Linked DNA regions of Mus musculus. The protein of the gene in region 3 interacts with the protein of the main gene of each other region in a pairwise test. Links are inferred from orthologs where the notes say so. Each region holds a gene or a part of one and is shown on either strand. Other genes may lie near its edges.

Region 1 (5,205 bases), on a different chromosome or scaffold from region 3:
AGACACTGAGACGCCAGGACAGACTCGTAGGAAGGTACCAATTCCTCCTATTCCAGAGTATCTGCCCCCAGTGAACCTGATTCACCGAGATGTTTTGCGGGCATGGTGCCAGAAGAAACGAGTGAGCAGCAAAGGCCAGGTGGGGGCCCGGAGGGGGCCTCTTGCTGCGCGGCAAAGTGGGAGTGTGGCAGCCAGAACTTCACTAACAACTCTTTTTATCTTTTGTTTGTTGTTGTTGTTGTTGTTGTTGTTTTGTCTTAGAAATTAGATGCTTATAAACGACTCCTTGCAAGGGCTTTCCCAGAACAAATGGTAACTATATTTTTTTTTATGAAACTATTTAGTATTAGCCCAGGCTAGCCTGACAGTCAGTCTGAAAATAAAAGTGGCTTCAAGCTCAAGATCCACCTACCTCACGGACATGGCCTTCCAAGCCCTGCATGGAACTTTGCACTTTAAGGGATAGTGGCAGAGGGAAAGGTTTGGTTCTTTTTTTTTGTTTTGTTTTTGTTTTTTTTTTGTTTTTTCGAGACAGGGTTTCTCTGTGTAGCCCAGGCTGTCCTGGAACTCACTTAGTAAAGCAAGCTGGCCTCGAACTCAGAAATCTGCCTGCCTCTAAGTGCTGGGATGAAAGGCATGCGCCACCACACCTGGCTGGTTCTTCTAATAACTGGCATATCAGAGAATAAATTGAGGGATTGCCTTGACTCCCTTCTTCCCCCTCTATCCCCAAATGGAAGAGAGACCATGAATAAAACTAGGTAAGGTGGGTCCTTTTTATTTTGGTGCTGGAAAATGAATCTAGGATTTTAATGCATGAATGCATGTTCTACCACTGCGCTGCACCTCACACCACAGTCCCTAACCCACCCCATCCCTGCTTTTGGTTTTTGTTTGGGTTTTTGTTTGTGGGGGTTTTGTTGTTTTGTTTTGTTTGTTTTTTGTTTTTTTGTTTTTGTTTTTGTTTTTGTTTTTGTTTTGAGTCTATGTAGCCTAGGCTGGCCTAAGAACTTCAAGAACCTCCTTTCTCGGACTCTTAATTACAGGTGTGTGCCACTATTCTTGGATAACTCATTTATTTGTTTTTGTTAATTTCTGTTTTTAAGATAGGGTTTTGCTAGATAGTCCTTGCTGGCCCAAAACTTGGTAGCAAAATTCCTGCCTCTGCATCCTGAGTACCTGGCCAGCATTTTGATTTTTGAGAATAGGACTTACAACCATTTTCTAGGTTAGTCTTGAATTACTAAGGCCAGGCAATCCCTTCTCTCTCTCTCTCTCTCTCTCTCTCTCTCACACACACACACACACACACAGACACACAAACACACACCGCCTCCCAACTCCCAAGTAACAGACCACAGGCATGCCCTCTTCTGGCATAAGGGCACAGAGTTCCCTGCATCTAGAGCTATAATAGTGAACCACCATTCAGGTGGTTGGAAGAAGCCACATTTTCTACCAACGTAGTGAGTGCTTGTGACTGCTGCATCATCTCCTCCACCCCACCCCACCCCATCACAGTTTTCTATGTGTGTGCTTGTGGGTGCACATGTGCTACAGGTTAGAAGACTTCGCTGGGTGTCATCCGGTCCTTGCTTTCTTCTTTGTTGTAAGACAGAGTCTCTGTTGCTTGCTGATGGATATAATGTTGGCCAGGAGTCTCTGGCTCCACCTCCCATCCTATTATCACAGGAGCATTAGAATGGAATTACAGGGGTTGGGGATTTAGCTCAGTGGTAGAGCGCTTACCTAGCAAGCACAAAGCCCTCGGTTTGGTCCTCAGCTCTGGAAAGAAAAAAAAAAAAAAAGACTGCAATTACAGGTGTGAGCCATTTGTGTAGCTTTATATGCGGATTATGAAGATATGAATTCCAAGTCTCTCATGGCAAGTACCTTACCCACTGACGTGTCAGCCCTTAATGTTTTCCATTATCTATAATACCCTAGCTGGAGTTGAGGAACGTCCCTGACTCAGCCAAAGACGCCAGGTTGAAGACAGCTCACAAAAAAATGAAGACTGAACCGGGGGAGGAGTCTGAGGTGACAGTTCCTCTGGAAATGGTCCCTGTGCCAGAGGAGCAGATACCTGCCCTCATTGACCCTCCTATGCTCTATGAGGAAGTCAGCACCACCGTAGTGACTACACCTGCCACTGAGGCCGTGTTAGCATCTTGGGCCAGAATTGCATCCAATGCTAAGAAGTACGAGGCAGTGCCAGCCGATGCTTCGTCCTCATCAGAAGTCAAAGGTTAGAATCAGTCACAGCCACCAGTGATTCCTGGACCTCACCCGTGCTATTGTGTTTAAGTTCTACTTTGGGCAGGGTCTCACTGAGAGCTAGTATTCCTTTGCAGTAAGAAGAATCCTCATTGTGTTTTGTTTTTTTGTTTTTGTTTTTTTTTTGTTGTTTTTTGTTTTTTTTTTTTTTTTTTTTGAGGTTTTGTGTGTCCCTGGCTGTCCTGGAACTCGCTCTGTAGATCAGGCTGGCCTTGAACTCATGGATCCTCCTGCCTCTGCCTCCTGAGTGCTGGAATATGCACCACAATCACCTGGTAGACAGGAAAGAACCTTTTACCTTGAATTTCTATGAGCTACTCGGGTGATAACGAGGCTGTTGATCCAGGAAGTCACGCTTTGAAAATAACTTCGTATTACTCGCTCACCAAGCAAGAAGCCATGTGCTTGGTAGGCTTTCTTCCTACTTTTTTTTTTTTTTCATTTGAAGAACGGGGGGCTGAAGACTAGGATCTCTTGGTATGTGTTAAGTTGATGATGTTTAACAATTTACTCTTTCTTCTCAATAACATAAGCATAACTAATCAGACATGTCATAATAAGCCAATGACCCCAACATCTGAGTTCAGGCTTCCTGAGACTTTCAAAATGATAAGAGAGCTTGGGTTGTAAGAATAGCAAAGAAATGCAATGAAGGAAAATCATGCTTAGCATGATAACAGTGGTTGAGTCTAGGGCTAGAAAGATGGCTCAGAGGTTGAGAACACTTTTTTTTTTTTTTTAAGATTTATTTATTTATTATATGTAAGTACACTGTAGCTGTCTTCAGACACCCCAGAAGAGAACGTCAGATCTCGTTACAGATGGTTGCTGGGATTTGAACTCTGGACCTTTGGAAGAGCAGTCAGGTGCTCTTGCCCACTGAGCCATCTCTCCAGCCCCCATTTGGGTGTTTTTTTTTTTTTTTTTTTAATTTATTATATATATATATATATATGTATATATATATGTGTGTGTGTGTGTGTGTGTGTGTGAGTGAGTACACTATAGATGTCTTTAGACACACCAGAAGAGGGCATCAGATCCCATTACAGGTGGTTGTGAGTCACCATGTGGTTGCTGAGATTTGAACTCAGGACCTCTGGAAAAGCAGTCAGTGCTCTTAACCACTGAGCCATCTCTCCAGCCCTTGGGTTTTTTTTTTTTTAATAGGGTGGTTTTTGATTGTTGTTTATTTTCTCTAACTCCGGCTGTCCTGGAACTAAGCTCTGTAGATCAGGCTGACCTCAACCTGACAGCCTGCCTCTACCTCCTTAGTGCTGGGATTAAATTCCTGTACAGCCACCAACCAGCAATTTTCTGGGAGTTTTGTTTGGTGTATGTGTGATGTGTTAGAATCACTCATGCAGGCTAAAGGAAATACTCTACCACTTGAGTTACATCGATAACCCTAAAGCCTGGAGGTTTCTTGTATACTTTCATGGTAGGTAACAAGATGGATTGAGATGAAGCTTGGATTCCCAGTCTTACCTCAGGGCTGGCATTTCAGAGAGGCATCAAGTCTAGGCTGAAACTGGTGTGTTCGTGTTAATTCTCTTTGCTCCCACAGGGGAAATGTGGTGTGTGGTTCATGGGACCAGCCTTCCTGGGAACTCGCGTGGTTGGGTTCGGCTGCAGTTCCACGCTGGACAAGCCTGGGTACCCGATAAGAAAGGAAAAGCCATTGCCCTCTTCCTGCTTCCGGCCTGCACATTTCCACCCCCACACCTGGAGGACAACATGCTGTGCCCCAAGTGTGTTCATAAGTGAGTGCTGTGCGCACTTAAGTTGCCTGCGGGAAAGGTTCATTTTAATTAGCTGTGTTGGAATATTACTTATCTTGCTCGTGTAAGTAAGCACCCAAGGTGCTGCGTTTCCAGGTCTGAAACTTACTATGTAGATTGTGCTTGCTAATCTCAAACTTGGAGCCAAAAATCTACCTTCTGCCTCCTACTTGGCATTATGCCACACTAATATGTTTTTGTGCGCCTTTGGGACGGCCAGGAGCCAAGGCTCACCTAGAGATTCTCACTGTCCTGTCTCTATTTTCCCAGCCTGAGATTGCAGGTGTCCCCCCAGGCCTGGCATAGATGCCATGCTGGGGATCAAACTTGACGGTTCATGCATATATTCCCAACAGATCTTTCTTGTCTGTTTTAGATCTTAGTACCTTTTCCTGGTTCTGGTCTCTGATCTGGGTATGACACACCTTGTAATCCCAGCACTTGTAGTGTAGACTGGGGTGGATGATTGAGAGTTCAGGGCAAGCCTGATCTCAGTCAGAGGTGGGGGGGGTGGTGAAGTGGAAAAGGAAGACATAAATAAATGAATGAATCCATAAATACACTTGTTTTCTAGGAACAAGATCTTGACTAAGAGCCTCGAAGGATAAAGGACAGATCTCTTGTTTGAGCTAGCTGCTGGCGTCACTCACTCTTGTGGTGTGATCAGCAGAGCTGCGGCTGACGCTGAGACTGATAGAAATCTACATCTCTGCCTTTGAAGGTGCCTTTCTCATCCAGAACTTAAGGGATAGTGTAAGTTAGTTGATGCTTAAGTTCACGCAGTTTGAAAAAAGCCAGCGAGGCCACCTCTGCTCGCTGTGATGACTGATCACTGAGAGTGAACTCTTACTCTTTTGTGAAGATAAAAATACATCCTATGTGTTTTGCTGCAAGTAGGTCCTGGGGCAGGAGGATGATATCTCCAGATAACAATAGTTGCTAGTCCTGTCACCAGCACAACGGGCGTCATAACCAGTTCAGCAGTCAACTGTAAAGACTTGGCTTATACCTGTAGCCTCCGCATGCATGTCCTCTTCCCTGGGTTGTAGTGTGTTGTTAGTGTTTAATACTTGTGTTTGTTTTCTGCTGTTGTAAAATATTACACTAAATCTGGCTTGTGGCTTTTGTTTTTGTTATCTGAATGGTT
Region 2 (4,081 bases), on a different chromosome or scaffold from region 3:
ACACTTGAGACAGAAGTATTCCATTCACATTCTTTCAGATATTGTTTTGTTTTGAGACAGGGTCTCAAGTGTGTTGCTCTGAGTAATCTGGAATTTACCATATAGACCAGTTGGCTTCAAACTTGTAGAACTCTGCCTCTGCCTCCAGATTTTTAAATGCTTGCATATTCACACTAAGATTTTAAACATGACATCATTGTATATGTTAGCCAGCCTGATGGTAATTTTACATTGTAGTTTTAGTGTACCTTTATTTCTTTATGGTTGGTTTGGTTTTTTGGAGCAGTAAGATTCAAGCCATGGATATGCTAGACCTTTGCTCTAACATTGAGTTGTACCCCAGCTCCTGTGAATTCTTTGTGAATGTAATCAACATAGCTCAGGTATAGAGCTCTCTACTTATGATATCATACCAACATTAAGAATTTTTATGTTTTTTAAAATGATTTATTTTACTTATATACTACACTGTAAGCTAGCTGTCTTCAGACACACCAGAAGAGGGCATCAGATCCCATTACAGATATGGTTGCTGAGAATTGAACTCAGAACCTCTGAGCTCTCAGTGCTCCTAACTGCTGAGCCATCTCTCCAGCCCCCGAATTTTTATGTTTTAAAGTATTTCAGATTTTGAAGTTTTTGGATTGGGAATGTTCAACCTGTTTAAGCCTAGCATAGCTTTACACACCTTAAATTCCAGGACTTGTTAGACAGAGGAAGATCTCTGTGAGTACCAGGATAGCCTGGTTTACTTAGCAAGTTGCACAACAGCCAAGGCTACTAGATCCTGCCTGTCTCAAAAATCAACAAATGGGGATGGAGAAATGGCTCAGCAGTTAACAGCACTGACTGCTCTTCTGAAGGTCCTGAGTCCAGCAACCACATGGTGGCTCACAACCATCCATAATGAGATCTGATGACCTCTTCTGGAGTGTCTGAAGACAGCTACAGTGTACTTACATATAATAATAAATAAGTCTTTGGGCTGGAGTGAGCAGAGGTCCTGAGTTCAAGTCCCAGCAACCACATGATGGCTCACAACCATCTCTCCAGGTACAGTGTACTCATACATAAAATAAATAAATATTTTTAAAAAAATCAAACAAATGGCTGGGCAGCAGTGGCATAGGCTCTCAGGAAGCAGAGGCAGAGGCAGGCGGATCTCTGAGTTAGCAGACAGCCTGGTCTACAGAGCTAATCCCAGACAGCCAGGGCTACACAGAGAAACCCTGTCTCAAAACACAAAACAACAAATATCAAACCAAAGCAAACAACCTTACTGTGACTCTTCTCACGGGGAGAGGACAGGAGAGTATATGTTTTCAGCAGTGATTATTATTAAAGGTAAAGTACCCGGCAGATCATTTAGAAAACCAAGTAGTCCAGGAAGACATTTGGTACAAAACCTGGGAAATTACTGTGTTTTATCTCTTCCTAATTTTTAAAACTCTTCTCTAAAGGTTATCAACTGGCAAACTTCTCTTCACATCCCTCCTCAAGCTAAGCTGAGTCCTGAAGCCTCTGACCTCATTATCAAACTTTGTCGAGGACCAGAAGACCGCCTCGGCAAGAACGGTGCTGATGAGATAAAGGCTCATCCATTTTTTAAGACCATCGATTTCTCTAGTGATCTGAGACAGCAGTCTGCTTCATACATCCCTAAAATCACGCATCCAACAGATACATCCAATTTCGACCCTGTTGATCCTGATAAATTGTGGAGCGATGGCAGCGAGGAGGAAAATATCAGTGACACTCTGAACGGATGGTATAAAAATGGGAAGCACCCCGAGCACGCTTTCTATGAGTTCACCTTTCGGAGGTTTTTTGATGACAATGGCTACCCATATAATTATCCAAAGCCTATTGAGTATGAATACATTCATTCACAGGGCTCAGAACAACAGTCTGATGAAGATGATCAACACACAAGCTCCGATGGAAACAACCGAGATCTAGTGTATGTTTAATAAACTAGGAGATCATTGTAAGAATTTGCAAGAGGCCTGAAGTGCAGGGGTTTTTGAAGTTTTGAGAAAATTATGCAAATGTGACAGAGTTTGTGTGCTCTGTGTACAATATTTTATTTTCCTAAGTTATGGGAAATTGTTTTAAAATGTTAATTTATTCCACCCTTTTAATTCAGTAATTTAGAAAAAATTGTTATAAGGAAAGTAAATTATGAACTGAGTATTATAGTCAATTCTTGGTACTTAAAGTACTTAAAAAATAGTGCTCTGTTTAAAAAGAGAAGCCTGGTATCTTTTGTATATATGATAAATAATTTTAAAATTCAAGAATTTTTGAAGATTTTTGAAAGACAGTTTTATCTTGCTTTAACCAAATATGAAATATAACCATATTTCCCTTGTAACTTTGGGTTTAGTTCCCAATACGCTAAAGAAATCAAGCCGTTGTTTTAGAAGGTAAGGTGTTCCTAGAGTAATTTTAATCTTGAAGTCATATCCTGTAATCACAAATACAGAGCAAAAACAATATGTTCACTAGAAATAATGCAGCTTACCCCTTCCCTCCCCAGAAGTCTTCAACCTAACCTAGCATTTTTCTTTCAGATACCGGCTTTAAAGAAGCCAGAGCACTGCTAGTTTTGTTTCCAGATTGGTATTAATGCTGCTTCCAGTTTTTGTTTTATTGGGATTTTTGTTTTGGTTTGGTTTTGGGTTTTTTTTCGAGGGGTGGGGGTATTGTTTTGTTTTGATTTTTTTTTTTTTGTTTTGGTTTGGTTTTTTGGGGGGCAGGGGATTGAGACAGGGTTTCTCTGTGTAGCCCTGGCTGTCCTGGAACTCGCTCTGTGACCAGGCTGGCCTCAGACTCAGAGGTTCACCAGACTCTGCCTCCCCCGAGAGCTGGAATTAAAAGTGTGTGCCACCACACCCAGCTGTTTCCAGTTTTAAAAGGGAACAAAGTTGCCATGAATTGAATTTTCAAACTGAAACTAAGATCTGTAATATTTGTATCTTAAAATTAGAAGAAAAATTTCCATCTCCTAAGTAAAGAAATTATTTTCAGTTTGTAATTTTTTTTTTTAATTTACGTGTATGTACTCACTAAGAAAGTACATTTTCTAGGGGCTAAGGATATGGCTCAGTGGTAGAGCACTTGCCTAACATACACAAAGCCTTGGGTTCAGTCCCTAGCCCCTGCCACATAAAGGTACCTTTGTTGTACAGTGACCAATCTTGATTGTGTCATTGATGCTATAGATTTCCTTTTTCAGAACAGTGCTACAATACAAATTGTTGGCAAAGGAAATGTAACTATTTGGCACTATTATACCTAAGAGTAGATTAATTGGTTAAAAATAATTATTAATTAACTCTTAATTGGGATGAGCATCCCTAATTAGATACATAGTAGTTTAGAAAGTGAAAACTTCCTAAGTTATTTAAGATTAATGTCCTATTTATATAATGTTTAGGTTCTAAGGAAGAATTGTGGATCCCTAACAAACATCTTAGGAACATCTTTTAGGAAGAAGAATGGGGCTGTACTCTGACCTTAGTAAAGTTTGTATGTATATTATTTCATTTTTTCAAGGTTTATTGACATGAATTGCTTTATCAGACTTAATGTTTGTGGCTAGGAATGATGTTTACCTATCTAGCTTTCTTATAAAAGATAATTTGTTTAAAACCATATGTATAGTAAAATTAAAAGCAAAGCTATTTGTTTGAATTGGGGAGAGAGAAAAACATTATTAGCTTACACTTTCATGTTGAGCTTGGAACCTGTCACGTGTACAAGTGAGCCTTCAGACCATAGATCATTTTGAGATAAAGACTATGTGAACTCAGGCCCTACTGAAAAAAAGTGTGTATCCACACATACATTAGAAAGTGTTGCATGCACTCTCAAGAGACCCTGGGTGTGATAAAACTTCCCAGACAGCAGGTTAAAGACCTACATCCTGTGAGTCAATTGCTATATCAAAGTAAGACCTTTGATATCCTTTGACTTTATTGCACAGCGCTCAGATGAGCACGTTTGTAAACAAGTAATGATCTGCTCTTGGAATGAGCCCGTGAAAGCAACACAGCACAGACATGTCTATAACATGAAA
Region 3 (4,820 bases):
ATCTGGATCTTAAATTTGGAATGAATATCTTGATTTTAGTCTCATTGGCTCTTTTCCTTAATTCTTGTTCACCAGTAGCCCATCCTCTTTCTAGTGAGGAAGAAACAGTGATTCTATGGCCTCATATATGCTGTGTCTTCAAAGTGTATCTGTTTCTCTTCCAAGGATATCTCATCCCATGAGAAGAGGTAATGTGGTAACTGAAACCCAAATCACTGCAATTCTCTTTATTCATCAGCATTGGGCACAGCAGCTTTGGAAGAGCCCCATTTCCACGCAGACCTTGGCCTCTTTGTTGAGTCTTCCCTACCCCCATCTGTCTCCACTCTCAAGAAAGTAAGTGTCCTGAGGCCTGAAAAAGACTCCCGCTCTGATCTTTGTGTATTTACCAGATAAAACACTTGTCTTGCTGGTATCTTGTAAGAGCCCCAAAGAGAATGGGCCCCTGTCACAGTTTTATTTCCACTCTACTTAGTTCCTGGTAACCTTGACATATTCCTATTACAGCCAGTCCTCAAGCAAGCATGCTGCTAGCTGAGCCTTTGCTGCTATGGCCTGGAAGGAACTACCCATGCTTATAGGGTGCTAAAAATGTAGCTGGCATTGCTCCAAATGCCTGTGGACAGGATCTAGCCCACACCTGTCAGGTTACTCATATGATGACCAGCGCCCCCCATTTCATTCCTCCCTGAGGTTTAGCAGCTTAATAAATAAGTGTGGTCATGCCTGAAACTCTTAAACCACGATGTATTATTTAAATTAATTAAAAGTTCTATGTCTGAATTCGCTTTTAAACCAGTAAAATGACATTCAGGCAGATTCAGGAAACCCTAGATCTTTCCAATATTTCCTGGTTACCGTGTATACCCCTTTACCAAGTTCATTTCAGCAGGGTAACATAATGGACTGACACACAAACAAAGCTGGGCAGATAATTCTCAGTACCTACCCTCTGGACTGTCTGAGAGATGTCAACTCACAAACTCCAGTCCAGGTTCTAGCTCAGGAGACATAAGCATCTTGCTAATTGCCACCCACAGGAAAGAAGGACAATGGATAAAACTTCTCTGCCATGTTAGGAAACTTCACTGTGCCCAGTAATATGCCTCTACTGTCAGTCTAAATGTTAATAATGTCCCTTTATTTCTCCAAAGTGACCTAATTTAAGATGATAGCCCCCCTACCCAGCCACCCTTTATATGTCACCTTGGAAGCCCCAGACAATGCTCCTTCACCACAGCTTTTAAAACCCTATGACAGGGCCCCCTGGAGCCCAAAAATGAAAGTGAGAATACTGGGATTGAACCAAGTTCCCCAACCACAATGAAATAATGGAGGTGAGTCACAATAGCCAATGGTAGCACTTAACCATGAAAAGACAACAGTTTGCTGCTAGTTTTGCAGTGCTTGATATTTATTGCAAAGAATTACATTGCTTTTTTCAAGTACTAGAGAGGATCTGGGCTGAATGCCTGTCCGTTTGCTTTTATTTTAGTAGTCCTTGTCCACATGGACACATCTGTGAGGCTGCTGCAGTTCTGAAAGGAAACGTGCTGTGCAAAACTGATGCATAGGAGAAAAGACATGTCAACATTTTAACTGTCCGGCAGGCACATCAGGTTCCTGTTCTGGTCAGGCAGATGTGGAACCTGGTAGTACGTACAGAACTAACCAGTCGGTAAAGACTGGCTGGCCCCTTCAAGGTTTGGTGAGTAGTCCAAAACAGAGTCTGAATGGGTGGAGTAGCAACTCCATCATCTTCTTGGTCCTTATCTTGAAAAGTGCTTCAGATGAAATTCGGTGAGTGGAGGTGAAATGTCAGGAATCTGCTTCTGGGCAGATGGCGGACTGGCCTGAGTTCCAGTGGATGTCAGCAGCAGGAATGCAGGTGGTCTGACCAGTTCTAATAGGGACCTGGAAAATCGCTGGAACTCCGAACAGAGTTCAGATTAGGATAAGTGCCTGAGGCCAAAGTGAGTTTCAGAGCAAGGTCCAGGCCCAACTCACAGCAGGTAACTGGAACAAAGACAAGTCCTGAAGGGAATGATGGAGCAAACAGACTGGCGGGGAAGAGGATGGCCATGCAAAGGGAGAGATTGAGGCAGCAGGAATGGCGGGTGGGGGGTTGGAATGAAAAGGCGTGAAGGCCCCCACCTCTAGGCCTAAGGGGGCTCCGGCCTAGTGATCTTCCTCCATTTCTTCCTCTTCATCATCATCACCATCATCTTCGTCGTCGGTACCCCAGCCAAAATACTGCTTCATCTCATCAACAAAGGCCTGATAATCACCGAGGACGTAGCTATTTGACTCGATGTAAGGCATCACCCACTCCTCAGCTTCCCCGGAGAGGAGGCTGATCAAGAATGCCACTTTCATGGCATCATTGCAGAAGTGCTCCTCATTCGCAAGCATGTAAGACATGGTCTGCATGATAAACTCAGGGAGCCGACCACTCTCGCCGCTAAACCGTGAGGGGTAGGGCACCGGACAGCTCGGTGGACATACCTGGCGCAGCAGCCTGGCCCGCTCACACACCAACAGTCGCAGCTGCTTCAGGAGCTGGTGGTTCTCCATGCACAGGGCTTGGTGCCTATCCAGAAGCGCGTGCAGAAGCGACAGCAGCTCTTCCACCATGGTTAACTGCTTGGACGGTCTCGGTCTCGGTCTCGGTCTCAGTCTCGGATCGGCTCCACGGAGCTGCACAGAGAGGCTGAGCAGGAAGTGCGGGTCCTCAGAGGAGTGCGGACCCTGGGCAATAAATGGAGGGGTCCCAGCCAGCGGCAGAAACTCCACCCACAGGGTCACTTTACAAACCTGTGCGCTAGCGCAGTGCGGTAAGGAAGGTGTGGCTGGGAAGGGTGCGGGATGGCGTGGGGGCGTGGTCAGGGTGGGACTGGTGGCCAGAGTGGATGTGGCTGAGGAGGAGCAGGGCGTGACCCAGGAGCTTCGCTGCGGGGTCCCGCCAGTTCTTCCACCTGGAAGTAGGAAGGCTGAGGGAGCAAAGCTTGCCACAGTGGAGAACAGATGCTCAGCCCTCAGGGCTGGCCTGCTCCAGCTGAAACTTTTCTGCAGGCAGCCTGTTCATCTAATTCAGTGTTCCTTTGTGGGTCTGTGGCCATCAGCTTCTTTAAAGTGATCCTTTCTTAACACATTTTTTTTTCTTTTTTTACTTTTTATTGGATATTTCTTTATTTACATTTCAAATGGTATCCCCGTTCCCGCCTCCCTCCCCTCAAAACTCCCTATCCCATCCTCCTCTCCCCCTGCTTCTATGAGGGTGTTCCTCCACCCACCCACCCACTCCCATCTCCCCTCCCTCGAATTTCCCTACACTGCGGTCTCCAGCCTTCACAGGACCAAGGGTCTCTCCTCCTTTTGATGCCTGACAAGGCCATCCTCTGCTACATATGCGTCTGGAGCCATGGGTCCCTCCATGTATACTCTTTGGTCGGTGGTTTAGTCCCTGGAAGCTCTGGGGGTGAGGAGTGTCTGGTTGGTTAACACATTTCCTTGCTCATTTAAATCTCACTCGGAGAAATAACGCTGACTCTGTGGGCCACCGTGCAGGAGGTCATTTGGGTTCCAAGTCTAAAAGACTCACAGGTAGACTCACTTTCATTAAATAAATAAATAGTATGCAACAAAAGACTTCTCTTTGACAAGCAATTTTGTTAACAAGATTTGCAAACACCAACCAAAGAGAAAGCACAGGCTGGACCTAGGCCTTCCTGCACACATGTAGCAGATGTGCAGCTTGGTCTTCTTGGAGGTTCCCCAACAACTGGAGCAAGGGCTGTCCCTGTGTCTGCTGCCTGCCTGCTTGAGGACCCAGTTACTCTAAATGGTTTGGCTTGTCTGTCCTCATTTGGAGAGGGTTTGACTTGTTGGGTGTGTGTGTGTGGAGGAGGATGTTATTTTGTGAGGATTTTTATTCTCAAAAGAGAAGAGAAGGTGGAATGGAGGAAAGACCTAGGAGAGGGGACACTGGGAGGAGAGGAGCGGGTTGATATTGAGATGTAAAGTGAAAAAAATAAATAAATTTAATAAAAAAGAAAAAAGAATGTCCTCCCCCCAAAAAAAGATTTATAAAATGTATACAGGGTGTCCACTTGTAAACATCCTATCTTTGATTCTTATCATGTCCTGTTTATGAGTACCTTTGTTCCTGTGTAGTTAAACTACCATGTGCACTGTTAAATAAGCCTGTCTGCCTAGTTTGAATGTGATTAGTTGTTGATAACTAAGTTTCGTTCTGGGTCATCAAGCTGATACACAATGGGTCTGCTTTTAAAAATATATCTCCAAATTCAATCAATTCTGGTCCTATCTGCTACCCTGCTACATCGAATCCCTTAGCTGCCAGCCTTGCCCTTTAGCAGCATGCACTCTGTACAGTAAGTTGCCCAGAACACTTTAAAAGGTGAGTTAGACCCTTTCACTTCCCTGTTCAAGGCCTTCCAATAGTTTTTCCCTCTCTGCTTTTCCCAGTAAAAAGCAAACTCTTGGTCATAACATACAAGGTCCTGCTTCTCCTTGCTATCTTCACCTGACCTCCTGTTAGGTTCTATTGCTGACCTGCCTATGGATTTCCACACATATCAGACAGTTCTAGCCTCTGCCCTTCTACCCATCCTATTTCCCTTTTAGCAGCCTAACTCATTTTTATACTGCTTTGAGAAAGGTCTTCCCAGCTATCTCATCTATATTTGAATTGTCTTCTCTATCAGCAATTTGTGGCTCCCACCCTATTTCAACTATCTATATAGTAACCATCATATTAAATGTCAACATTATCACCTGCCTCCACTTTTAAATATAAG
Region 4 (5,205 bases), on a different chromosome or scaffold from region 3:
CGTCCCCTCAACCTGTTTTTTATCTTTGTTGTTGTTATTTGACACAGGGGTTTTATGTCTAGCTTTGCCTGTCTTAGAACTGGCTCTGTAGACAAGGCTGACCTCAGACTCAGAGATCCACTTGTTTCTGCCTCCTTTGTGCTGGGATTAATGGTATGCCTGGCTCTGTTTATTAAAAAAGAAAGGCAGTAGTGGTGGTGTAAGCCTTTAATCCCAACACTTGGGAGGCAGGCAGATCTTTGTGAGTTGAAAGGTCAGCATGGTCTTCATAGGGAGATCTAGGCCAGACAGCAAGCCCCGTCTCAGAGGGGAAAAAGAAAGTCACAAAACATCCCCAAACAAAACAAGAATGCTTCACAAACTTGCATGTCCTCCTTGCATGGGGGCCACGTCCCTGTCACTGTTCTAATTTTAGTGTACGGGAAGCTGGAAGCGAGCAATGTATAATTCCCCTGGACGCTGACAAATCTCGATCCCGCTGGGATGCACAGCCTCAGTTCCCCTCTATGTCCATTTAGCCGCCTCAAAGTGCTGCAGAGCACGGGCCCTGGATGTCTCTGCATCTGACGCAGAGCCAGAGTGGTGGGGACGTTAGGCCCTTAGGCCCTGAAGTCAGCTCCGGCTCTTCTGGTCCTTGTATGATCCTGGGCCCGTCACTTGACTCCTCTAAGCCTCAGTTTCCTCATCTGTAAACTGGGGAAGTAAAAGGACCCCCCTGGACAGTCAGCTGAAGGGTAAAATCTAAGACTGCAGCAGGCCCGACTCTCAGCCAGAGCCAGCAGGTCCTGAGGGCTGTTTACTTCAAGCTCACCTCCCACTGCTCACACAACGGGGAGCAACTTCTGAGTGCAGAGTGGAGCTCTGTGCCAGGCAGCGCTGGTGCACACCTTTCATCCCAGCGCTCAGAAGGCAGCGGCAGGCAGAGTTTTGTGAGTTCAAGGCCAGCCTATCCTACTCACCCAGCACTTGCCTAGCAAGGATGAGACCTGGGTTCTGGCTTCCAGCACAAGGGGAAAAAGTTTCTCTGCAGTCTTTTTCTGTGCCGAGCAGCACTGAATCTGACACTTTCCAGACTTGTGTCCTGTGGTCTGCATGACACTGGTGGCAGGTGCTTTTATTCCCCCGCACTGCCCAGGCCGGGGAATCGAGACTCAGGGCCAACCAACAACTCTCCTAAGCCCTAAGACTTTCTCAGGGAAAGGGTAAATTTTAGTCTTTCGACTTCTAGTTTGGGTGCTTCGCAGCGTCTTCAATGTGCCTTAAGTGACAAGGCCTGATTGCTGTGTTCCCAAAGACCCTTAGCCTGGTTTCTGAAGATGCCAGCAGCCACTGCTCAAGAGTGCCCACGGTCCCCCTTTCCACCATGTTGTCACTTCCGTATAGCAACTGCAGAAAACATTCTGCTAAGTTTGTCAGATCAAGAGCCACTGGGTATGAGGTGCTGCCCGAGAGCCTTTGGGGGGCACATCACACCCCATGACCATTCTCAGAGCTGTCAGACACCTTCAGGGGACAGGGTTCTCCTGTGTTCTCTGAACCCAAGCTGCTCATCACCGTACTATTAATGATAGTGGTGTACTACACCCCACTCTGAAGAATAAACTGGTTGAGCCCCTTTGCCCTAAGCCCAGTCCTCTCAATGAGGCCAGATCCATCTGAATGGAACCAAGAATCTGACCACAGGCAGCCTAAATAACTGCATGTTTAGAAGTAGCATTTATAACACATGGGGGTACGTTTGTGGTTCTACCCAGAGGTAGTTTTAACCCCTCTGGGAACATTTTGTCAGAGATAGCTGCTATTGGCCCCAACACTGTAACTGAGATGGAAAACCCTGAGTTAAAGACTAAGCTATGGGCTGGCGAGATGGCTCAGCAGGTAAGAGCACTGACTGCTCTTCCGAAGATGCTGGGTTCAAATCCCAGCAGCCACATGGTGGCTCACACCCACCCGTAATGAGATTTGGTGCCCTCTTCTGGTGCGTCTGAAGCCAGCTACAGTGTACTTATGTATAGTAAATAAATCTTTGGGCCAGAGCGAGTGGGGTTGGCCAGAATGAGTAGAAGTCCTAAAATTCAATTCCCAACAACCATATGATGGCTCATAACCATTTGTACAGCTACAGTGTACTCACATACATAAATAAATTAATCTTAAAAAAAAATAAGACTAAGCTATGAGAGTAACGTACCAAGAATAAACACTACTAAACGGATCCCCAGCTATCACAAGGAACCGGTAATCCAGAGGTTCCAGATCAGATGGGCAAAGGGGAATCCGGGTCACTCCCGTTCAGGGGCCACTCTTGGCAATGGTCAGACCAACAGCTGTGGTCTGGATGAACTTTCTACCAGGACCCACTGGTCCAACCTTTAAGCCTTACCTCACGGGAGGATTCTTGTTCATGAACATTTCAATGGCACGCTCATCTTCAGGGTCCACGATCACCTCTGCCTGGTGGTCCACCCCGGCCATTTTGGCTGCCTTCTCCAGGGTAGGCCACTCCTCATCCTCCTCATCTGATCCATCCTGTGGCAATCCCGGCCCTACAAGATAATCCCAGCCGCAGGGGCTTGTGAGTCAGTTCCCCATTCCACGTACAGCACACCCAGGGAGCAGGAGGGACACCTGCAGAGGGACTATCCTTTTGTCCCCAGAGACTTGGAATCTTGATAGAAAATACAGCACACGAAGCGAGAGATGATAAGGCCAGTAAAGACTGGATGACATGTCCCCTCAGTGAATGGATGACATGTCCCCCCTCAATGACCAAGAAGGATCCATTCTATACTACACACATGTAACCTGGTCTGTCCAGATGACCTCAAGGAATAGGTACTGTTGCTATACCCAGTTCAAACCGGGGCAGAAGAGTTGATGTGCCCACAGTAGGTAGGCACTGTGGGTCCTGACTTCCCACTATGTTGCTTGCACAGTGGAACTGCATCATGTGCTGAAACTAAAACCATGGTGGAGGCAGTGTGCACCTCAGGCACTTGGATGAGTACAGAGGCTGAGGAGGCTCTGGATGGGCAGTCTGGGAGCAAGAGCATGCTCCACGTCCTGGAAAGTAATGCTGTTAGAGTGTTGGGCACTAAGGAGCCAGAAAGGAAACGGAAAGCCAACCTGGAAGGCTCTAAGGCTGGGCAGTGGCATTCGGACTCTGATCAACCAACACATTTAAGTTACTGGCTTAGGTAGTCGAGGATGACTTGGGAGTTCCTTGTTCTCGCGCCTCCACTTTCCAAACACGCACCACAGTGCTGAAGGCTGAGCTTCTGATGTTGGGTTAATCCCGTGTGTTCCATGTAAAGGCTGCCTGTGTACTATTCACATGTTAATCTTTGTTCCAGCAGAGAGCTGAGTACAGTCGGCATTGGTTTTTTTTTTTAATGAAGCATCACCTGTCTCAGTGTTGTGGAAACTTCTTCTCCATCACCTTCTGATTGGTTTAATCAAAAGCTGAGTGGCCCATAGCAGGGCTGGAAAGGATAGGCGGGACTTCTGGGCAGAGATAGGAACTCTGGGAAAGAAATCAGATGTGAGGGGACTCAACAGCCAGACACAGAGGAAGAAACACGTGCTGTTACTGAAGAGCAGTAACGAGCCCCGTGGTTGAATGTAGACTAGTATAAAGCAATTATGTTGTATCAGCGAGTTCGGAACAAGGCAGCTAAGGCCAAGCTTTCATAACTAATAAGAGGTCTCTGTGTCCTCACTTGGGTGATAGGTGGGTTGAGCCATTCCTGCCACATCCTGAGGTCCTGACCATGGAGTCTTGGCTGGGTACTTCCTGAGTGCTGGGATTAAAGTCATGTGCCAATACACCGGGCTGACTTTTGAAATACCGCACATAGCTGGCAAGGCAGTTGGGAAAGAGTCTAATAAACCAAAGTAGTTGAATTATTACCATAGCAACAGATCAGTTGCTATGGAAGTGGACTAAGGGTATATTATATAGAGCTCCAGAGAGTACACAGAGCATACCCAGTGAGAGCCAAGGTTGTTTGTTTTAGGTTTATTTTACTTTTAATGTTTGAGTGCTGACTGCACGTATGTCTGTGCACAAGTGTGCCTGGTGTCTAATGACATCAGAAGATGGCATTTGATCCCTTGCAAATGGAGTTACAGACAGCTATAGCCTGCCATATGAATGCCAGAAACCAAACTTGGGTTTTCTGCAAGAACAAGTGTTCTGAAGAGCTGAGGACCAACTCTTGAGAGTTTTCCTCTGTTCTCTACACACATCATGCCACGCACATGCACACAAAATACATGTTAAACAAAGGAAGACAAGAGCTATGAAATACGACGTAGGGAAAAGAGAGAAAATCAGGAGACAGTCACTGACATTTGTGTGGTGTTTTGTTGTTGTGATCATTTGCTTTTTGTATATGAGTGAACCCTGCATCATGGAAGTGACTCTTGGGAGCTGATGACCTTGTTTTTGAAACAGGATTTGACTGGGACCTGGGGATAGCTGATTAGGCTAGACTGGTTGCCCAGTAGGCCCAAGAGATCTGTCTTCTACACTGTAGCTCAGAAACTACAAGCTGCTGTGAGTGGAAGTCAGGGCTCATGCTCTCTCAAAGCATGGACCTCACCAGCTGTGAGCATTATCTTATCCTGTCCCTAGCTTGTGGTCAGACCTGAAACAGAGACAGACCAGACAGGACGCCATCAATCTCTAGCTGCTGAATGGACCACAGAGGTCACAGAATTCAAAGCACGATGTTTCCACAGTGATCCAGGGGAGAGACCCTGGTAGCTTAATCAGGGAGTGTCTCAGGTGAATGGAAAGTGGTCTGGCTCTGAAATACTCTAAAGACAACATCACCAGGATTTACTTTGAAGTGAGAAAGAGGAAGCCTGGACTCTGACTGGAGCAGTGGAGCTAATGTGCTAACAACCTCCAAGTAGCAAACAGAGAGCAAGTTTGGGAAGGAAGTCACAACTTCTGTTTTAGATGCAATCTTCTTCTTTTATTTTTTTTTTTCCTTCTCCGAGACAGGGCTTCTCTAGGTAGCCTTGGCTGTCCTGGAACTCACTTTGTAGACCAGGCTGTCCTTGAACTCAGAAATCCACCTGCCTCTGCCTTGTAAGTGCTGGGATTAAAGGCGTGCGCCACCACTGCCCTGCTTGGACGCAATCTTACTAGAGTTAGATACTAGTATTCAACTTGGAGATGTCAGGTAGACCACTGGA
Region 5 (4,600 bases), on a different chromosome or scaffold from region 3:
CACGGAGCTTTGGATCCTTGGACGCGGCTTGTTCACGATTGGTCATTTTTCCCAGCATGACCTATGCAGGGGAGGTCCTCTAGCTTTGGTGTCAGGGATACGGGCTTGAGCTGAAGGTCTGATCGCAAGATGCTAGCATCCAGAACTGTTTTATTCTCTTTGAGATGCCTTGAACTTCCTACATAGCCCAGGCTAGCCCAGAACTTATGACTTTCCTGCCTTCTGAGTATCTGCAATTACAGGTATGTACCACTGCCCAGACAAACAAACAGACACAACAACAAAACCCAAACAAACAAAAAGGAGGCCAGGACTGAGATCAAGGAAACAAAAACCAATTCTGGGTTTCTACCGAAACACATGCCCACCTTTATATAGAAACATGCATACACACCCTTCTACACACACACACACACACACACACACACACACACACACACACACACACACACGCCCTTCATACTCCACAGACTATCTGGGCTTAAGCTTGCCTCATGTTTTACCCCACAATCTCCCAGTGGGTCCTGGGGTCTCTCTAGGAAGCTTTCTGACTCTGGATCCATCAATTTTTCCACCTCTGCCCGCTTTCCCTGACTCGTAAGCCCAACTCAGAAGTGTATACACTGCGGGCTCACTACAATCTGGGCCATCAATCAAACCGTGGAGCCAGATCTCCCCAACCCCAGCATCCTCCCTATGACTGGTTCCTAACTGGTCCTAAAGTCTCGTGACCTCTTAGATGGTCACCTCCTTACTACCCTGCCTGCTCCTTTTCCAGGTCACTCCTGCATGGCATCTCTTACTGTTTCCTTCAAACTTGTCACCTTGGCTCATGTCCCACAATAGTCCCATCTTAGGGCCACAGAGAGGACTGAGAGGGGCCCCTTGTATCGACTCCAATTCCCCCTCTTACCCTGTACCCCAGGCTGGACTAGAAGGCAGTCAGTGGGTTTCTGACAGTGAGCCCCTCCCATCTTTGTTCTGCTGGAATGGAGGACAAACAGGTGGGGTTGGAGCAGCTCACAGACAGCAGGCAATTTGAATGTCAGAAGCACTTTATTAGGCCCCAGGGCCCTTAGAAGCCACCCTCATGGTCTGGACAGGCCACCCCCAGCAGCTCCAGCTGCACAGGAAGTGAGCGGGTGAGAGAATCCACATGGCTTTCTCTACTGTGAAGGCTCACGGAAGACGCTGAGCCCACAGCTGCTTCCCTCTCCTGCAGCCCCTGCTGACCCCACACAGCTACATCAGTCTTGGGGTGGAAAGGGAAGCTCGGGCCTTCAGTGCAGGAAACCGCCTTGAAACCAGCCACCTGTTCTGCTTGAACAGGGAAGGGGCCGTGTGAAAACCTGTCACTGGGAGGAGAGGGGACAGCAGCATAAATCCTGTCCAGGAGAGAGAGCTTGCGGGCTCTCAGAATCAGACTGGCTCTTCCCCGCAGGCCCAAAGCTCCTAGCTTGGTCACTCAGGGCAAGCGTAACCTACAAAGCGAGGCACAGCTAAGAGGGTGGGAGATGGCTACATGAGTCAGTTCATTCAACATGGTTCCCCTTGCTCCAAGTCCTAGGTCACCAGTCCCGTTCAGCTGGCTCCCGGTAGGGCAGGCCTAAGTGCTTGAAGACGTCCTTCTCCGTGGGGGTGGGCAGCACTTGTCCAGGCCCCACCTTGACACCTTGGCTGTTCCGGACTACAGCTGCACTGAGCGCATGCTCCGACAGGCTCATGCCCTTGGTCTTGGCCAGAGCTCTCATGGACCGGTTGAAGTGGGCAGAGCCGGTGAAGTAGAGCAGGGCACAGGCAAACTCACAGTAGGGTACCACGATGATGTCCAGTCGCCGGTGGCGCTTCCCGGGCCCTGGGAGCCGGCACACACCCAGGTATTTCTGCTGTTGGCCGTTCTCCTCCTGGCTCACCAAGTCATCTGTGAGGAACCCTGGTCCAACACAAGGGATGTCTGGTAGGGCAGGGAGCCAGGCCTGATAGTCTCACCTTCTCAGGTTGCCTAAGGATCTTTATTCCCAGCATACCCTGTGCCTATTTGTGTGTTGAGTTGAGTGGCCTCGCCCCTCTGGGCCCAATTCCTCATCTGTGGAAAGCGGGCAGTGTCATCAGGTGAGATCTGCCCCTGTTTTATTGTCTTTGGCCCCAGGAGAGGTAGGATTCTTGCAGAGCCCTTTCCCACCCAGTCTGTCTCAAATCGAGAACTTGGAAGTGACTGCTAGGAGGTGGCTGCCCACTGGTAGCCTGCTCACCCAAAGTCAAAATGGATACCTTGCTGCCGAAGGCTATCAAGGAGGCAGCTGAAGATGCCCCGGTGGGATCGGCCATCGGGGTGAGTAATGAGTACATCCACATCCCCGCACGTCATCTTCCCCCGTCGGTAAGAGCCACAAGCCACACACAGCAGCCCAGGGTTGAAGGCCTGGGCTGATATCCGGACCTGGGGAAGAACAGGGAGGGGTGAGAGTCTGAGGCCTCTCCCAGGACAGCACCCAGCCTTCGCCCCAGCCTTCCCCCGGGATTCATATTAAGCTGAGGGGACGTGCCGGGGCACTGGAGAGGCAAGCCTGTTAGAGGCCTGAGGACATTGGCTCTGCCTCAGCAGAAGGCTCCTGTGCAAGAGCCGAGTGACACTCCGTGGGTTCTGGCCCCCGACTCACATCCAGTGGCCAGGCCTGTGAAAGGCCTGCCAATCACAAAGGCCACGCCCATGCAGCTCAAGCAGCCTGTAGCTGATGGCTGTGTGGAAGCTCAGGGTCGAGGCCTGAGCAGGTGGCTGGCAGACAGCCTCCAACCCGGCTGGGAGAAAATGAAGCACGAAATACCACTGCACCTGTGGGAAGGGGAGGCCAGGAGCTGCCCACACCGTTCTTGGAGGGGTGAGGCCGGCCTGTTAAAGAAGGACCTGAGAGACCTAGCCCGCCCCCTCTGCAGGACACTGCAGTTTCAGGGGCCCTGGGTGCTCACAGCCAGGACACCCCAATTGCCCTGACATAGTTCTGCTGGTCCCTTCAATCCCTTCTTGGACCTCCCAGGAGAATGGGAAGAGGCCGTCTGGTTGAGCAATCCCACCGGAATCCCTACAGCTGGAGCCCTGCTTGCAGGCAGCCTGCAGTGGGGAAGCCGGTCTCTTCTGATGGGCTAGGAGCTGGCGGCTGACCAGGGCATTCTCTGTGCCCGGACACCGTAGCTGAGTGCAGGGGTCCGCATTAGCACCGCAGCTCTGTGATGGGTCTATCCATCCAGCACCGGTCCCATAGTTCCATCTGTGGGCGCTGGTGGAGGCTTATTCTTCCTCACTAGGTCTCTCCGATCCTTCTGCTAACAGACTGGTTCATCTGTCACTCACCAAGACCCCTGCCCATGTACCAGCCTGCTCCCAATGCCACTATACAAATAGCAGACATCTGGTATACCCCGTCTCTCTTGACTCAACCCTGCACATGAACTTACAGACTCAGCCCCTAGCTCTAAGCTGAACCTTTAACTTGGCTAAACCTGATTTCTTGGCCAACTAGATGTTTTTTGTTTGTTTTTTTTTTCCCCCTTTCTGTGATGCTGAGGATGGGCAGGGTCTTAGGCATGCTCAGGAGCGCTACCTCTGAACGACATACTCAGGCCTTGATTGTACTCAGGCCTTGAGGCTGTGCTTGCCCCATGCTAGGCGACTAGTGCCCAGAGTTCATGCTTAGTGACCCTGAGACCAGAGGGCTGCCACTGCAGTGCCCACCCCACCTGGGGTTCCTGGACCTACAGCTCTGGTAGACACAATCTCTGTCGACCTCTTAACTTCCGCTGCCTGTGGGGTTGCCCAGCTAGGGCTTCAGGAGCTGTTGGCTCGAGCTGTGCCTACCGTCTGCTCAATTTCCGCAGCCTCCTCCCTGGGCATGCGGTCCAGGAAGTCATCGTAGTGCTTCAAGCCAATGGCCTGCTGAGCGGTCAGGGAGCCCAGGCTTTGGAGATCTTCTAGGTTTCGGAAGCCCTGGAAGAAAGCAACCAGAAAAGAGGCTATGAGGACCCAGGACTAATAAACAGGCCAGAAGTCATGGGTGGCTGTCACAGCAGCTGCCATGGAAGACAGAAGGCAGGACCAATCAAGTCCAGCCTCTATTCAGTGGGACGTGATCTGGGCATGCTGGTCCCTCATTCCTCGGTCTAAAATGGGTCAGGGCTTCACGCTCACTAACTCCCAAGATCATTCTTGGCATGGCCAAGTTTGAGAGCCACTGTTCGAGACATGGAGCCCAAAGCCTGGGCTCCTGAGAAAGTCCCTTGCTGAAGCCAGGCAGATCAGCCTGGTCTACATAGTAAGTTCTAGGTTAGCCAGGGCTACATGGTGACATATAGTTTTTAAAACAAACACACACACACACACACAAACACACACACACACACACACACACACACACACAAACATAACAACAGCAAATCCCTGCTGGTGTGTGGGACAGAGTAATGTATTTATTGTTTCTGTCCACAGGTCAAGGACACTAAGCTACATGGCTGTTCTGGGGACAGGAGGGGGACCAATGTGAACTCTGGCATCCTTGTAGTTGGATTTCACTCCCATGAGGGCCCAGGGTGGGAAAACAGAGGGACC

Evidence for each region.
Region 1: the proteins of Ldoc1 (region 3) and Dppa4 interact in binary tests that used the Homo sapiens proteins (3 or more experiments, as listed by UniProt). The two-hybrid records come from large-scale screens. The link is inferred for Mus musculus from reciprocal best matches to the Homo sapiens genes LDOC1 and DPPA4.
Region 2: the proteins of Ldoc1 (region 3) and Lats1 interact in a two-hybrid assay, tested with the Homo sapiens proteins (2 studies listed by BioGRID and IntAct). The two-hybrid records come from large-scale screens. The link is inferred for Mus musculus from reciprocal best matches to the Homo sapiens genes LDOC1 and LATS1.
Region 4: the proteins of Ldoc1 (region 3) and Bysl interact in binary tests that used the Homo sapiens proteins (3 or more experiments, as listed by UniProt). The two-hybrid records come from large-scale screens. The link is inferred for Mus musculus from reciprocal best matches to the Homo sapiens genes LDOC1 and BYSL.
Region 5: the proteins of Ldoc1 (region 3) and Poll interact in a two-hybrid assay, tested with the Homo sapiens proteins (2 studies listed by BioGRID and IntAct). The two-hybrid records come from large-scale screens. The link is inferred for Mus musculus from reciprocal best matches to the Homo sapiens genes LDOC1 and POLL.

Annotation. Positions count from the first base shown.
Region 1 is NC_000082.6:48,289,067-48,294,271, forward strand, and holds part of Dppa4 (developmental pluripotency-associated protein 4), read left to right. Parts: coding exon 1-139; intron 140-261; coding exon 262-312; intron 313-1,947; coding exon 1,948-2,248; intron 2,249-3,844; coding exon 3,845-4,040; intron 4,041-4,632; coding exon 4,633-4,666; 3' UTR 4,667-5,205. UniProt on the Homo sapiens protein: May be involved in the maintenance of active epigenetic status of target genes. May inhibit differentiation of embryonic cells into a primitive ectoderm lineage.
Region 2 is NC_000076.6:7,711,041-7,715,121, forward strand, and holds part of Lats1 (serine/threonine-protein kinase LATS1), read left to right. Parts: intron 1-1,460; coding exon 1,461-1,970; 3' UTR 1,971-4,081. UniProt on the Homo sapiens protein: Negative regulator of YAP1 in the Hippo signaling pathway that plays a pivotal role in organ size control and tumor suppression by restricting proliferation and promoting apoptosis.
Region 3 is NC_000086.7:61,707,524-61,712,343, reverse strand, and holds Ldoc1 (protein LDOC1), read right to left. Parts: upstream 2,734-4,820; 5' UTR 2,635-2,733; coding exon 2,179-2,634; 3' UTR 1,394-2,178; downstream 1-1,393. UniProt on the Homo sapiens protein: May have an important role in the development and/or progression of some cancers.
Region 4 is NC_000083.6:47,604,456-47,609,660, forward strand, and holds part of Bysl (bystin), read right to left. Parts: intron 2,547-5,205; coding exon 2,384-2,546; intron 1-2,383. UniProt on the Homo sapiens protein: Required for processing of 20S pre-rRNA precursor and biogenesis of 40S ribosomal subunits. May be required for trophinin-dependent regulation of cell adhesion during implantation of human embryos.
Region 5 is NC_000085.6:45,551,238-45,555,837, forward strand, and holds the end of Poll (DNA polymerase lambda), read right to left. Parts: intron 3,983-4,600; coding exon 3,854-3,982; intron 2,441-3,853; coding exon 2,272-2,440; intron 2,087-2,271; coding exon of another isoform or gene 2,013-2,086; exon of another isoform or gene 1,934-2,012; coding exon 1,569-1,933; 3' UTR 1,038-1,568; downstream 1-1,037.